Linked DNA regions of Yarrowia lipolytica. The protein of the gene in region 1 interacts with the protein of each later gene in a pairwise test. Links are inferred from orthologs where the notes say so. Each region holds a gene or a part of one and is shown in the gene's direction. Other genes may lie near its edges.

The links.
Region 2: the proteins of YALI1_B15482g (region 1) and YALI1_D36137g interact in binary tests that used the Saccharomyces cerevisiae proteins (3 or more experiments, as listed by UniProt). The link is inferred for Yarrowia lipolytica from reciprocal best matches to the Saccharomyces cerevisiae genes APM1 and APS1.

The regions. Positions count from the first base shown.
Region 1 is NC_090771.1:1,543,922-1,551,955, forward strand, and holds YALI1_B15482g (uncharacterized protein), read left to right. Parts: upstream 1-4,345; coding exon 4,346-5,698; downstream 5,699-8,034. Other genes in the region: YALI1_B15440g (uncharacterized protein), read right to left, coding at 1-96; YALI1_B15460g (uncharacterized protein), read right to left, coding at 1,655-2,134; YALI1_B15475g (uncharacterized protein), read right to left, coding at 3,075-3,611; YALI1_B15509g (uncharacterized protein), read right to left, coding at 6,153-7,013. UniProt on the Saccharomyces cerevisiae protein: Component of the adaptor complexes which link clathrin to receptors in coated vesicles. Clathrin-associated protein complexes are believed to interact with the cytoplasmic tails of membrane proteins, leading to their selection and concentration.
Region 2 is NC_090773.1:3,610,964-3,618,667, reverse strand, and holds YALI1_D36137g (uncharacterized protein), read left to right. Parts: upstream 1-4,442; coding exon 4,443-4,605; intron 4,606-5,068; coding exon 5,069-5,379; downstream 5,380-7,704. Other genes in the region: YALI1_D36182g (uncharacterized protein), read right to left, coding at 1-571; YALI1_D36161g (uncharacterized protein), read left to right, coding at 2,580-3,848; YALI1_D36122g (uncharacterized protein), read right to left, coding at 5,716-6,480; YALI1_D36100g (uncharacterized protein), read right to left, coding at 7,370-7,704. UniProt on the Saccharomyces cerevisiae protein: Component of the adapter complexes which link clathrin to receptors in coated vesicles. Clathrin-associated protein complexes are believed to interact with the cytoplasmic tails of membrane proteins, leading to their selection and concentration.

The DNA.
Region 1 (8,034 bases):
AGCAGACTCGTTGTTGTCGGTGTCCTCCAGAAAGACCTTGGGCAGCTTGGGGTGCTCAGGGTCTTCCGAATCAAACACGTGGGTGGAGAAGGTCATGGCGGTACCAGTAGTGGTGATTTGTTTCGTTTTTTTTGTCGGCTTTGTTTCTTGTCGATTAGGCACTGCAAAAAGTACGCTTGTTTAAGGCGATAGCAAGATTTCCATGGGTGAGGTGTTTGGTGCTTGTGTGTGTTAGCCGATTGAGCAGCGACGGCGCACGTTATAAGTAGTTGGAGTTGGTCGACCGAGAAGGTTTTGGTGCGGTCGTGATTTTGGTACCGTAGGTAATCTTTTTCTCGTTTTGCCTGTTCTAATTTTTAATTCTGGTGGGGCGTTAATTCCTTGTCCAGCGCTTGCATCCACTTTCAGACCTGTTAAACGTTGCCAAGCGCTATTATCGAAGTTTATCGAAGTCAAACAATGTGGGTCTCTTGGAAGTTTGCAGGTGATAATAGAGACTAATATTGCTCATATCGACGGGTTGAAACTAATTGAAATACCCTACAAACGGGGATTATTGTACAGAACTAGTATTATCACTTTGTGGCAACGATTACTCGTCGTAGACCCCTCATCAACCCAGAGCCGTGCCGAAGTCAAAGCCAATTCCGCAGACAGTTTCTGCAACGAAATATAGCTCTTGGGAGTTTTCTATTGGTGGGTCAAATTCTGAGGTGTCAAGTTGCGGCACTAGGCGAGACGTTCTGCGGTAGATGAAGACGTGATATATCTTAGATTGGTCTGTTTTATCGCTAGTAGGCTTTCCCTTCAGTTAGCTGTTGATTTTGCCTATTTTATTCGCTCGCAAACGTCCATGCCTCTCTACGTTTGCAGTCTTCCCTCACAGAAAGTGTGTTGGTTCGCAATAGTGCCAACTTAAGCGGGCTGAACGTTCTGCATACACGTATGTATGAACATGCTAACGATGATGTCATGTAAAGAATACGGGATGTTCGCTATATTCTTGTGGAGTTTTTTCGATTCTGTTTCATCCCCCTTTGCTTCTGTCACATACGTACTCCCATTTTGTCCCATTTACATTCAATATTCCCGTCTTGGCTTTGCCGAAAGCCAACTCTATCACACCGGCAGAGCCATTTGCCAGGTGTTGCGAAATTACGCATGATGAAGATGTCCTGAAAGAGACCGTAAAGTTGGGAGAAATCGAGACGACGACGGTGAAAATTTTGTAAGTGATAAATCTCGTTGATTCGTACAATAAATAGTCTTGCTCTATGATCCGCATACAAGTACGAGCACGTACTGTAAAATTCTTTCCGTTGGCCTATGCAAAACTTTGACCGTTAGGGTCTATCAACTCTACCCTCGCCTGGATGGTATTTCCGTGTTGACAAAGAGGAAGCATTCTCGTCTCCTTCCACCCTCGGTTGTACACACTGGCGCATCGTATCTGCTGTAGCAAAGTTAGTAGCGGCTTGGCTTGCCTATCCACCATCGTGTCTTTTTTCTCTCGCGGCTACTGTACAAGTACGATACTGTACTTCGCAACTCTTTCAGGGCGCTAGTATAAAATGAAAGTTGTGGACGCTATAAATATTGTATCGTAGTCTAGAGCGGTACTTTTACCGCCTCGAATTGCTATGAACGCATGTCACTATTGCGACAAGCTCATAGCAACGCCTCCAAGTTCAGTCCCGATATTACAACCTGTGCCTTGTACAGTAGTCATATCATGCAAGTCTTGAATCACAGAGTGGGATAGGGAGTAAAGTGCAGCTACAAGTAGATCGGCATGGGGAGCGAAGATTTTAACCCCAGTGGTTATTGGTGCTCTCTTCCGCGCTCTGAAGCTTCGGCTTGCAAGTGACATACTTTTGCAAGGCCAGTGGGGGTCCCTATCTGTCGTCCGAACCAAATGGAGTCTACAGATTGAAATTAGCAATAAGCATGGAAAATTTTGATGGTCAGTCACCAGGCTTCTACTTGTAGTACAGTGCATACAATAGGTCAATATTGAGTGCTTATGACGGACCGTTGCTCGATTAGTTATTCCTTGTGGCCCAACCACCGTCCCACCAATATCGAAGCCATGTTGACTTGGCATAATATGGAGCAGCTCAGTCTCCAACACCATGCCTAGAGCAATGAGGGGATATACTTACTTTGTACAACAATTGCTAAGTCGTACCGGTACATAACCGACAAAAATATTCTACTCTCGTCTTCTTCGCTCAAACTTATCGTTACAGCTCACAGTAGTTCCACTCTACAGTAAATCTTCTACTTGCAACGTATTGAGCATGGAGCGTAATTGAGGAACATGTCAGTACAGAATATCGTTCGGTGTCTCTTGTACTAGTTGTTGTCTTTTGGTGTTACCAGCTTATTGTTGTTTCTTTTACTTACCTGGATACGACCCTCTTCCCCATCCCTTTCTCGGACTTTACTTGCAGCGTCTCTCTATGAATACCATCGCACGGCTTTTCTTCCGAATGTAACCCTACAAGCTCACCTCGATCACCCCTCTTGCACCGAAGACTTTATGCTCAATTCTCAAATCCTAGGACGTCGCTTTCCACGCCACTTACACACACCATCTAGATTTATTTCAGCCCTTCTTAGCTTCCCTGCATGACCGTTGTCTTGGCACGTTGCCCAGATGAGACAATAGAAGATGAGTGTGTATGGGGAAGTCTATAGAATTTTTTCAGTCAGTTGACTTACGCGGTTGTCTTGCAATGGGCCAAGCTGTGTCGATAAACCTCTTACTTACTGACTCTTGTCTCCTATGAAACTCACTCCTACGTAAAGCCATTTATGGGGCGGGACTGGTGTAAGTTGCGCCAGGATCATGCAGTCTGGACCAGGGAGTTGAGTGTGGTTTTTTTTAATGCTTCCACCTCTATAATAGTTCTGGCTGTCGTTCAAGTACGAGTTCCTTTGTTCCCAGTTGCAGTTCAGCAGCTGACAGATGTGTGGGCATTGGTCATTATTGATCATTGTAAGCTTGGTATGCTTGCATTCACGCATCTTTTTCTTTTTTTTTCTGCATCTTTCTTTAACGAATACCTCTTTTACTCAACTAAAATCTCGAGAAACTCAACTAGCTCCTTCTGGCCCTCTCTCACTCGCTTTCCTCCTCTTGCCTTGGCTTCAGGACTAGTGTAGAACAAAGGGATCTTCAGCTCCTCAAAACGCCTGTAGATGTAATCGTACATGTTTGTCAGCGTCTTGTGGGCATGTGCATGGAATGCCTTTTCGGCTTCCTCCCTCGTGGGTGGCTTCTTGTTTTTGGATCCCCCCCCTCCTCCTCCGATTCCTACTGATGCTAGGATGTTGTCGACTTTCTCAAAGTCACGTTTCTGGGCCTCTATTTTCGCATCGATCTCATTGTATTCCTTCTCGAGCTGGGCCAGTCGTCTCTGCTGCTCTATCATCAGCCGTTTCACCTCAGTCAGAAACTCAGGCCGTTTCGTGAGTTCATGGACTGTGTATTTGAGAGCATCGGCATAGGTGGTGATTTTCAGTGGGTCCTTCTGAGTAAAGAAAGGCGTACTGTTTGCAGGTTGCACACGCGACAACTCGGCCAGCAGGTTAGTCAGATCAGACATGTCAAGGAGTCATTGAAATGTGGTGATAGAGCAGTGTAACTTGGCCTACTGTAGCGCCTGCATCTCTGAAGCGTCCTCCCTTCAGAACCTTACCCAAGGAAATACACGCGCAGAGAAGACAAGTAAGCATCTCGTTGTCAGTGTGCAGTGTTACGAAACAACTTCCGGTACTGTAGTGTACATACTGTACTTGTACAAGTAGGATCTTATTTTGTATCCAATGCGAGCTCTCTAGTGTCTCCGTTTGGTGGCATATAAAAGTACGAGTACTTAAAATCTCTTCGGTGCGGTCTCATAGTACCCACATTGGCATATCTCCAGGGACTGCTGCAATTTACATTGAAGCAATTGAGTCAATGATATCACACAGCGAGCTACGATGATATCAATGCAATCATTCTTGAACCTATCCCTTATGCCCTCCTCATAATCTCTCTTAGTCAGGATCTCCCAACCCGGACACTGCCACATTCCCAAGCCCAAAGATGAAAAACGATAATCCGTGTAGAAAACAGCACACTCATCCAACGTGTAGGCCCCCTCATATTTAGTCAAAGAACAACACCAAAGACACCGCAGGCCCCTCTTTATTAATTCCACCAACATTCACTTTTCCATCTCCTCGCACCACCCAACTACGCTCTCTCCAAAGTGTGCATCACGTGATTCAAAATTACCTCCACGTCAAAACTCACACGTATCACCACATTCACTACAACACCACACAGCACACAATGGCGTCGGCAATTTTCTTCCTGGACCTCAAGGGAAAGCCTCTGTTATCGCGAAACTACCGCGGCGACATCCCTATGTCGGCTGTCGACAAGTTCCCCATGCTGCTTCTGCAGGCCGAGGAGGAGTCACCTGTCGTCCCTCCGTGTTTCACCCATGAGGGAGTCAACTACCTGTACATTACCCACAACAACCTGTACCTGCTGGCTCTGACGAAGCGCAACACTAATGCCGCCGAGATTCTGCTGTTTTTGCATCGGGTCGTCCAGGTGCTGACAGAATACTTCAAGGGTCTAGAGGAGGAGTCAATCAGAGACAACTTTGTGCTCATCTACGAGCTGTTGGACGAGCTGATGGACTACGGTTTCCCACAGACCACCGACACAAAGATCCTCAAGGAGTACATCACCCAAAAGTCCCACATTCTCGAAATCGCCATGGAAATCGCCCAGGTGCCAAAAGAGCAACCAAGACCCCCTATGGCTGTCACGAACGCCGTGTCTTGGCGTTCCGAAGGCATCAAGTACCGAAAGAACGAGGCATTTTTGGATGTTGTTGAGGCTGTCAACTTGCTGATGTCTCCTTCGGGCCAGGTTCTGCGTTCTGAGGTTCTCGGCTCTGTCCAGATGAAATGTTACCTCTCTGGTATGCCTGAACTGCGACTGGGACTTAACGACAAGGTGCTGTTTGACCATGTGAGCAACACCGGTGCTGGGGGAGGCGGATCGGGCGGATCTGCTCGTGCATCTCGAGGAAAGAGCATCGAGATGGAGGACGTCAAGTTCCACCAGTGTGTGCGACTTTCGCGATTTGAGAACGATAGAACTATTTCGTTCATCCCTCCGGATGGCCAGTTTGAGCTCATGAGCTACCGCCTCAACACCACCGTCAAGCCGCTGATTTGGGTTGACTGCAAGATCAACAAGTACTCCAACACGCGTATTGAGATTCTGGCTAAGGCCCGTGGCCAATTCAAGAAGCGATCGACGGCCAACAACGTCGAAATCCACATTCCTGTTCCCGAAGATGCCGATTCGCCTAAGCTGGCTGCTACCGCAGGTTCCATCAAGTGGCACCCTGAGAAGGCATGTGTCACGTGGAAGATCAAGCAGTTTGGAGGAGGACGAGAATTCTCCATGCGAGCGGAGTTGGGTCTTCCCTCCGTTCAGGACGCTGATGAGCAGGCTAAGAGCAAGAGACCCATCCAAGTCAAGTTCTCCATTCCTTACTTTACTACCTCGGGTATTCAGGTTCGATATCTGAAGATTGTCGAGCCGAAGCTGCAGTACACTTCTTACCCTTGGGTTCGATACATTACCACTAGTGGAGAGGACTACACCATACGATTGGCATAAACGTGACAAGTGCTGCATGAGGGAAGACAGCTCTCCGGTTGTTTTCAACTACGAAGTAAAGCAAGCAGGGATAACAAAGTATGGGCATGGGTGTCCGTACTACTTGTACCAGGAGGATTGATGGTGTGTAAAGTATGGGCATGCTTAGCTATTTTGCAAATTACATACTACTTGGTAGAGGATAGCAACGCATATCGGTGACGTTAGTATGTATTTTATGACTGTATGCTGATGGAGCTGCAAAGGTACACTACGATATTAGAGAATATATAGTAATCATTGTAATTATTGCAAAAGAGTAGATTTTATACACTGCTCAGAACCCTCTAATCACTGCAATTCAGTATTGAAACGGACGATAACTACAGTACAGTACTCACATCTTACATCGTTCAATACTCCATCATCCATTCGTTCGATACTATATACATCCCCTTTTTTGTAGACAATCCCCTTAGACAATTTCGAGAGGGTCCTTGTCGGTCTGAGAGATGATGACCTCAACCTCCCCGTCGTGCTGGTTCTTGAGCTCCTTGGTCAGCAGAGTCTGGAAAGTCTTGAGGTAGCCTCTCTCGGTGTTGGAGTGACCGCAGACAATGGCAGAGGTACCGTTTTCAATGAGACCTAGGGCCTCGTGGTGGCCAAGCTCGCCAGTGAAATGCACGTCTGCATCAACACCTCGCAGAACAGAGGCTCCAGAACCTGCACAGACGGCCACGGAAGAGATCTTAGCCTCAGGGTTCTCGTGCTTTTCGGTAAGGGCAACCTGGACATGTTTGAGTCCCAGACCGGTCTTAACTCGCTTCAGCAGCTCGGAGAAGGTAATGGGTTCCTTGAGACGCACCACTCGGCCCATGCCAGCACCCTCCTGTCCCTGGACGCCATCTACGGGCTGGCAGACCTCCCGGGAGGCCTCGTTCTCCTTTCCGAGAGAGACTACGTCGATCAGGAAGTCATTGACACCTCCAACGGCAGCGTCAACGGCAGTATGGGGGCAGTAGACAGAGATGCCAGCCCGGGCAAGTCGCAGCAGAGATCGCTGCTGGGAGTCCGACTGGGTGATAGACTTGAGGCCTCGGAAAATAAAAGGGTGATAGGCCATAACAACTCCGGAGTTGTTTCGGATAGCCTCGTCGACAACAGAGGTTGTCAGATCGATGGTGAGCAGCACATTGAGCTTCTCCTTCTCAGGTTCGGTGTCCAGAGGGCATTCCAGTAGTAGGCCGGTGTTGTCCCAAGAGGAGTCTGCGAGAGCTCGAGGGTAGAGCTTCTGAATAGAGGAAACAATGGTTTTGACGGCACGCTTGGAAGACATGGTTGTGATGAAAGATTAAGACAGACAGAGGAAGACCTGCTTGAGCAATCGCCGCCTATGCAGTGTGAGCGTAAGTGAATCAGGGTTCATGGGGAACCAGATTGATGAGTAAAAGGTGTGGAAGTGTACTACAAGTACTAGCTAATTAAAGAGGTGGATGGGCGTTTAAATAGATTGATTGTGTAGATAGAATGCGAAGGGAAAGTTATTGCCTTTGTTTTGTTTTGTTTTGCAACTTATTTGCTAATGCAAAACATATGGGAGTCACCTTCAACCATCGATAACAAACTAGTTCAACGTCACTTGACAATGACAGTTATGGAACAAAAGATGCTGAATAGACGTGCCTCGCATCAACTTCTTGCAATAAGTCAATGTGAAGCAGCTCTTTCAAACCACAATGAGAAGAACATCTTCCAAGCGTACCGCATTCTTGTACAGTACGTATTTTGTAGCTCTCGCTGAGCGTACAAGTATGTGTACTGTACACACTGGTGATGTGATGAATTCTTCGTGCTCTGATACCAAAGTGACTCAGACATCAAGATTCTGACTCAAATTGGAACGACCAGCCATAAGGGCTACAGTAACAGTACCACGATTATATAAAAAGATGTTGGACTTCTCTGACACCCCTTGTTCAAAGCAAAAGCTCCAAGAAGTTCTTAAAAAGCCCGGGTTCCTCTAGACACCGAGAAATCACTTGAAAGTTATTTTCAACGGTTGGCCACGCGAACTGGCTGCAGCTTCCTTCGTCTCTACCAGAACGGTAGCTCCTCCGGCCTCCACATCCAACGTTTCCCACCTATCCAGTCAGTACTGTCTATAGTGGTGTCATGGTTAAAGAAGAAGTAAGATGGAACATGAAAGCCCTTTTATAGTGTTGGAAAATCTTCCAAACTTTAAAAAGCCCTAACTCCTCCCAGCTTGCATATTGGAATCAGCGTGCAGGTAACTGTGTTCAGACTGGAGTGTACACTGGTCGACAGTGGCGAAACAACGTATTCATACCCCATTGACA
Region 2 (7,704 bases), on another chromosome or scaffold:
CCAGAGTCTCACAGATAGACAAGCGGCGACGAGTTTCCATAGACTGCCTCGTTGGTGCAGCTCCAGCTCCCTTGCAGTGGTGGTAATGGCCTACCAAGCCACTGTTGTATCTGAAGGTGTCAGTTTTGTTGTAGGGCACGGATTCACGAGGGATGATGAATTCACGTGAGGGATGGTTCAGGATCCGGTTCTGCATGGCTTGCATGGCATCCTTATCAGACGCAATCTTGCCAAATTCGCTTGGTGTGTCAATGAACCGTGATGTCTGTACCAGTGGATGTACTGTGAACTGGAAGGGATGGCTTGTGGACAATGCAGCCGCCGAGACAGGAAACGTGTCGCGGACTGGCGTTTTCCTTTGTGTGGTCTCTGGTATGTTGTATCGTAGCTTAGGCAGAATGAAATCGCGTGGCGAAGGCGACCCCAGTGGCTGTGGCTGTGGATTTTCTTCTGAGTGACGGCAGTTAACCACCTCAGAGGTCGGGACAACGGGCATCAAGAGCAGCTTCTTTTCGTTGTATGTGTCATGCTCATAGCACCGAGACTTTTGTTCCGGAGTCTGTGTAGTCATGTTTTCAGTGTCTAGGGACACATGTCGGTGGGACTGAGGCTACTCGACTTGCAGTGTGTGTATTTAGAATATGATCTGGTTGGATTAGCTGCTGCCATGGTAACCACTTCAAAATATTAAATACGAGTACAAGTAGCATGACGTACTGGTACAGTATGTACGAGTACGAGTATATATACTGTACCCTTACATACTGAACTGCTGCCTGTCAGGCTGTATGCGTCAAAAAATACGGGAGTGGATGAAGCACTGTATTGTAGATATAATACAGCCGCTGGCGCAGCTTTGTGTATTTCTCCTCTCAATATGACGGAATTCCCCGGCCCAGTCCTGTTCCGGAAGAGGTTCAAAAATGGGTTAATGGTTGCACCATCCCCACACTGACAGGACAAGAAACCACATGCAGTAAAAAAAAAAAGCCAGCCGCACGTACCATTGGGCACGGATCGAGTATGTGTTCCCCCAAAAACTAGCACTGCGCAATTTCTACGGTTCTGCTGTACTACTTGTAGGGCTGTCAGTACGCATACAGCTGGCCTGCAGTAGACACGTCAACTCTGATGTGGTGGCTAGCAACAAGCAGAAGCTGGAGAAACGGAATTTACTCTATCATGAGTTATGCTACAAGTAACTACAAGTGGACTACTGTAGACTACCACCAGACTATCAGATGTAATGCGACATGAGTCAGTTGACAGGGTGCACATATCTGTTTCTGCCTGTGAGCCATGTCGTGTAGTTTACTAAACGAGATGCCTGTACATGCTCAAGGTATTATGCAGGGCGTATCTTCAGCCATGTTGAGTTCACTCACATCCAGTTGACCAAAAGCACTCGACAGATCGGGGTACACACTTGCAATATTAATTTTATAGTTTGTGCGACCCTGAGACTCCCTCAGCGTGTCCGCGAAGTTTGAGACACACATTCTTCGCTTTTGGATTTTCCCCCTTGGGTATATCCGCCGATGCAGAATGTGTGTTGGGCATTGCCGTCGCACGCCATGCCTCAGGGTTAGATCTGCACTTAATGACATTAGACAGCTACGCGTTCCTGGACTTACGACGACTGTGGTGCTGAAAATTTCTACTTTTCAATAGTACGAGTTGTGCCAGTAGACTGAGGCTATTTTTTGTTCTAGCGAACAGTCAACATCTGGACTAACGACGTTGGTTGTGTGGAGGAGCGGAGCGGAGGAGCCAACCACTTGGCGCATTCGGAGCGTGGTTCAAGCTCATAAAACATTCGCACGCCCACAAATTTCTAGGCGATTAATTTAATAAGATAAGATACAAGCAGTCGTACAAATAGTCTGTTGATAGAGAAGTGGGCTGTGTATCTTCCACGCAACCCAAGACAGCAGTATGTACAGTACAAGTAGTAAGTGGTTTCAACATCAAGCGCTCCAAATGGACAGATTGAACTCCAGGGCAGCCATGGAGCGGCGGCATATACGCGCCAGCCAAGTGCAGGATATATACTGACAGGCAGGTCCTGTTTCGATGAAACTTCCAGCAGCTGCAGCCTGCGCATCACCCCCTGTCGTACGCGTCTGGAATGGTCTTCAAGCCGGGTAACTATATATAGATTTCTCAGCTACTGCTGCTGCTGCTGGGACTCGGGTTAAGTTCGAGACAGAAGTGCAGACGTGGCGAATATAGGGTGATACGACTGTCACGAACCCAACGACACAAAAGACAAGGCGGCTAGAGCAGCTTATGTGTGGCTTATTGCCTTAAAGGGCTAGTTTGGACGAAAGATCCCTTTAATATATCTTTACAAGGGTTGTAAATGGACAGAATAACGCCAGCACCCTGTTGAGAGCGACCTAAATCCGTCATGGTCAGAACTTCAGAAGGTACTCCGCACTAAGGTTTGCTTGTTTGCTGGCATTGTGAAAAGCCAAAAAATGGTAAAGTAGCGGACGCGTGTCTCCACACGTTCTTCCTTCTTATACTCCTACACTTCGCTTCATATACACACATTTCACTCACCACACATACACAACATGGTACGAAACAGTGTGCGAGTGACCCGATTCGCCATTCTGGCGGTCGTGCTCATGTTCCTGCTCTACAAGCTGAGCTCCTCGTCCGTGGACATCAGCGGCATGGTATCCAACAGGACCAAGCCCGATCTGAACGAGTTCAAGACGGAGGTTGAGGAGACCAAGGACACAGTCGTCGAGCATGCCAAGGAGGCTGCCAATGACGTCAAGGAGGGCGCCGCGAAGGCCGTCGACTCCGCCCACAAGGTCGTGAACGCTGCCCCCTCTAAGTTCCAGCCCCTTACCGACTACCAGCGAGAGAACGCCACCTTTGTGACCCTGGCTCGAAACAGTGATCTGTGGGAACTGGTCGGATCTATCCGACAGGTCGAGGACCGATTCAACCACCAGTTTGCATACGACTGGGTTTTCCTTAACGACGCCGAGTTTTCCGATGAATTCAAGAAGGTGACCACCGCCATGTGCTCAGGTAAGACCCACTATGGTAAGATTGGCGAGGAGCACTGGGGATTCCCCGATTTCATTGATCAGGAGCGAGCTGCTCGAACCAGAGAGGAGATGCGACAGAAGCAGGTCATCTACGGTGACTCCATTCCCTACCGACATATGTGCCGATACGAGTCCGGCTTCTTCTGGCGACACCCTATCATGAACCAGTTCAAGTACTACTGGCGAGTCGAGCCCTCCATCAAGCTGCACTGTGACGTCAACTATGATGTGTTCAAGTTCATGCGAGAGAACAATAAGTCCTACGGTTTCACCATTTCTCTGTTTGAGTACGGCGCCACCATTGAGACTCTGTGGGAGACCACCAAGAAGTACATGCACCAGTTCCCCCAGATGGTCCACCCCAACAACCTGATGAAGTTCATTTCCGACGATAACGGAGAGACCTACAACAAGTGCCATTTCTGGTCCAACTTTGAGGTTGCTGACCTTGATCTGTGGCGAGGAGAGGCTTACTCCTCCTACTTTGACTACCTTGACCACGCTGGTGGATTTTTCTACGAGCGATGGGGTGATGCCCCTGTTCACTCCATTGGTGCTGCTCTGTTCGCCGACAAGGACTCTATCCACTACTTCGAGGACATTGGATACTTCCACAACCCTTTCAACAACTGTCCCACCACCGAGAAGATGCGACTGGATGGTCGGTGCATGTGCCAGGCCAGCGATAACTTCTCTTGGCACTCCTACTCTTGCACTGGCAAGTTCTTCGATGCTCAGGGCATGACCCGACCCGAGGGATGGGAGAAGCAGAAAAACTAAAAAGAGAAGGCTAGAGAGCGTTAACAGTAATTGCACTGGTTGTAGTTAATAGTTGAGAATTTTATTATATATAAAATAAGTGCGACAATTGTACGAGTACAAGTAATGGTGGCTGTGGATGAGCTACTTGTGATAGTAGCTACTTGTAAAAGAATCAATCGATTACATACGACCTTGTCGATTCTATTTTCTTTCAATTCTAGGGAGATACATTTCGTTCCAAAAATGCATGTGAACCGCTCGTTGTGTCATACAAATTGTACTTGTACTTGCTTATAGTATCGCGGTTGTTATAGTATGGTTTTGGGACATACACAGCCTAATTTGCATCTCTTAGCAGTCATTGAATTATGCCTAAGGAAAAAGATCACCGACAGGTAAATACCTCATCTAGTGACTTGATTTTTAATACTTCTCCCTTTTTAATCCCCTCCCTTCGCCTTTCAATAGCTCCAAGTAGCTACAAATAGTCCAACTCACGACAACTACAAGTAGCTTCACTCTGACTTCGTCGCCAATATAGTTTCATTGGGAACTGCAAGCGTGTCATCTGTCTTCACCACTCTCATCAAAGCATCTCAACACACACAACAAATGGCCATCCAATATCTGCTGTTGCTATCGCGTCAGGGCAAGGTTCGTCTGGCCAAATGGTTCACAACTCTCGGCACCCGTGAAAAGGCCAAGATCGTCAAGGAGGTTACTGCACTGGTTCTTTCCAGACGAACAAAGATGTGCAATGTCATTGAACACAAGGGTGAGTAAGATAAGGAGGACGTGACTGCGTTGGCTCGATGACTTACCAAGCGCGAGTTGGTTCACTTCTTGCTGAGCCACCGTCAGAAATTCTTCCAAGAAGAGTACCTCTACGAAACACCTCATCCACAATGAGTGCTGTGGCTTAGTTCATTGTGCTGTGAAGTGGCAAGAAGAGCGCTGCAGAGCTACACTTTCTTGGGGTCGGTAAAAATGGCTCACTGATCGCCGAGGTGTCTGATACCGAGCTATCGGAAACATTACAGCAGTAGTGACGACGCGAGAGAGAAAAGGAGCTGTGCGGCAGATGACGACAAGACTACACGACCCGTCAGAAGACTGCACAAAAGGAGTGGACAAATAAGTCACTTTGTATTGTTGATTCAATACTGCGGCAGTCTCCCAGTCCAGTGGGCAATGTTGTGTCCTCAGTGATGCACCACCACGAAAAAAGACTAACACAGAAACCAAGGTTGTTTTCAGACGTTATGCATCGCTATTTTTCATTACAGGCATCGACTCCGATGACAACGAACTAAACACTCTCGAAATCATTCACAGATACGTTGAGCAGATGGACAAGTATTACGGCAACGTGTGCGAGCTCGATATCATCTTCAACTTCCAAAAAGCATACTACATTCTCGACGAGATTGTGGTCGGAGGAGAGATCCAGGAGTCGTCGAAGCGAGAGGTTCTTAGACGAATCTCTCAGCAGGATGCTCTGGAGGCAGCCGAAAACGAGGAGGAGGGTCTGTCGAGACTATTGGCATAATTTGGGACTTTTAGAACATATGGGGTCGCGAGGTAGAATGAATGTACTCATACTAATACATGAGATGTATGTAGACAAATGGACAAATGAGTTTGGGAGCAGTCAGTTGCTCTGAAGCTCATAATATCGTCTCGGTCTCACAAATACAGTAGATTTACCCCTTTGTGTGTGTATGTGGTGAAGACCAAGTTACATAATCGGGTTAGGGTAGGACCCAAATACGGTGATTGCCGTGTTGTTAAATTACATCACAGTGCCTGTGAGAGGCACAAGTATCAAAATTGCGAGTTTCCGGTCAATTGGTCTATTAGTATTCGTCATCTATATATAATTTGCTTACTGGATGGTATGGGTGGCCTCAGCCTCCTTGAGAGTGAGCTTTCCGGAGTAGATCTCGTCGACTCGCTTGTTGATATCAGCGAAGGAGTGGAAGATGTTGTAAGGCAGAGACATCTTCTCGAGGTAGACAATCAGATCCTTGCCAGCCTTGGCGAACAGCAGATCTGTCTCCCTTGCGGCAGAGAGATCAGAGACACCGTCACCACAGTAGAACATGGTGGGTCGCTTGCCCTCGGGGAGCTCGGCGTAGGGCTTGATGCATCGGGACTTGTCGTGGCCAAAATGCGACTCGTCTCGGTAGACAATGTTCCACTCTCCATCAGGCTCGATCTTCACATCGTTAGCGATGATCTCAATGTCATCTGCGGCCTCCTCTCCAACCAGCTTCTTGAGCAGAGCAAAGATGACGGGCTTCATACCAGATGAAACCACGACCACGGGAATATTTCGTTCCTTGCACCACTTGTAGAAGACGGCAAACCCGGGATCGAGGTCAATGTTATTGAGAAGCTGCTCGATACACTCGGGGAAGGGGGTCTTGACGGAATCCAACATGATCTTGAAGGCCTCGGAGAAGGACATTCGCTCGTGGAGGATCTCTGCGTTGTAGAACTTTCGCTTCTCGACTCCAAAGCCGAGATTGTCGGTGAGCCAGTCGTTGGAGTCCTGCAGAGTAATGGTTCCATCCCAGTCGGAAAAGACAATGGCCTTGGGGTTGGTGGCCATTGCGGGAGTACCGTTGATTGTAGAAGTGGCAGTCATTGTGTGTGTGTTGATGAAGAGTGTCTTGTGCAACAGAGAAGAGTATATAAATAAGAGGAGTTGCTACATATATATCAGGAGCCCGACAAGCACTATTGAACCTTGTTCCATATGGAGTTTATGCGTGTTCGGGAGAAGGGCGAAGAAGATGACACGTGGATCGGGGCTGTTGACGTGGGATTTTGTAAGTGACGTTGGTGTGGTTGAAATATATAGTCATTAGTATCACCATCAAATATGTTTTGTGATTCCGTCCCGTTCTTCTCATACTCAACATCCCTTCTAATTACTTCCGTGGACCCAACGTAATAATGCAAGAGGCACAACTGCAGGAGTTTTTAAGGGCCTGTGAGGGAAATAGACGTACTCGTACAGTAGATGGGGTCATAGAAGTTTACGCCGGGAAATGGGCATGGCTGACTGGTGTCCGATGCACTCGCGCCCATTGTGTCAAATCAACACTTGTCCCTCGACTTCTACCAGCTCAATGCACCACCGGCTCATGTACTACGGACATCGCATGTTCAACGGTCAGGACGCTTGACCACAGATGCGACCTCAATTCATAGTATGTACAACCGTTGGTCATACCATTACACGTGAGCTTATTACTCCATGGTTTACGTGTTGCAAGTGGCGTTCAACTTTCGATTTTCAAAAGACAGCCATTGGTGTCTTTTTGGGCCATGGTATTGGCGGAGAGCTTTGACACTTCGGATATAGCTCAGAGTTAGATTCGGCATGACCTGCATATTGAGCATAATTAAGATGTGCCAGGTCTACTGTATGCCAGTGTCTGTGGATGTACGGGCTTTTTAAGGGGCTCAGATGAATTCGGGCAAAAAGCCCAAAAGCGCCGCACCGGGATATTCATGCAGTTGTATTGTACTTACTTGTGTGCACAATTGTTTAGCTCTGTTAATTCCCGCAGCAGTGCCTTTTGGTCATAGATTGGCTTTCCATCCTCATCGACTTCCCTCTCCTCCATCTGGATAACATTGATGTCGTGATCTTCGAGTTCCTTCAGACACACGGGTGGAAGAACATAAGGCGACATAACGTGAGTCAGGAATCGGGTCCAATCGCAGTCGGAAATCTCCTGGGCCGTGCACTCACGTTGAAGTTTAGAGTACAGACAGGCCTTGACCACTGCCTCCACATGCTCAACAGCGCTCATGCCGTTGGTCTCACGATCAGGAGAGCCATTTAGAAGCATAACCTTGG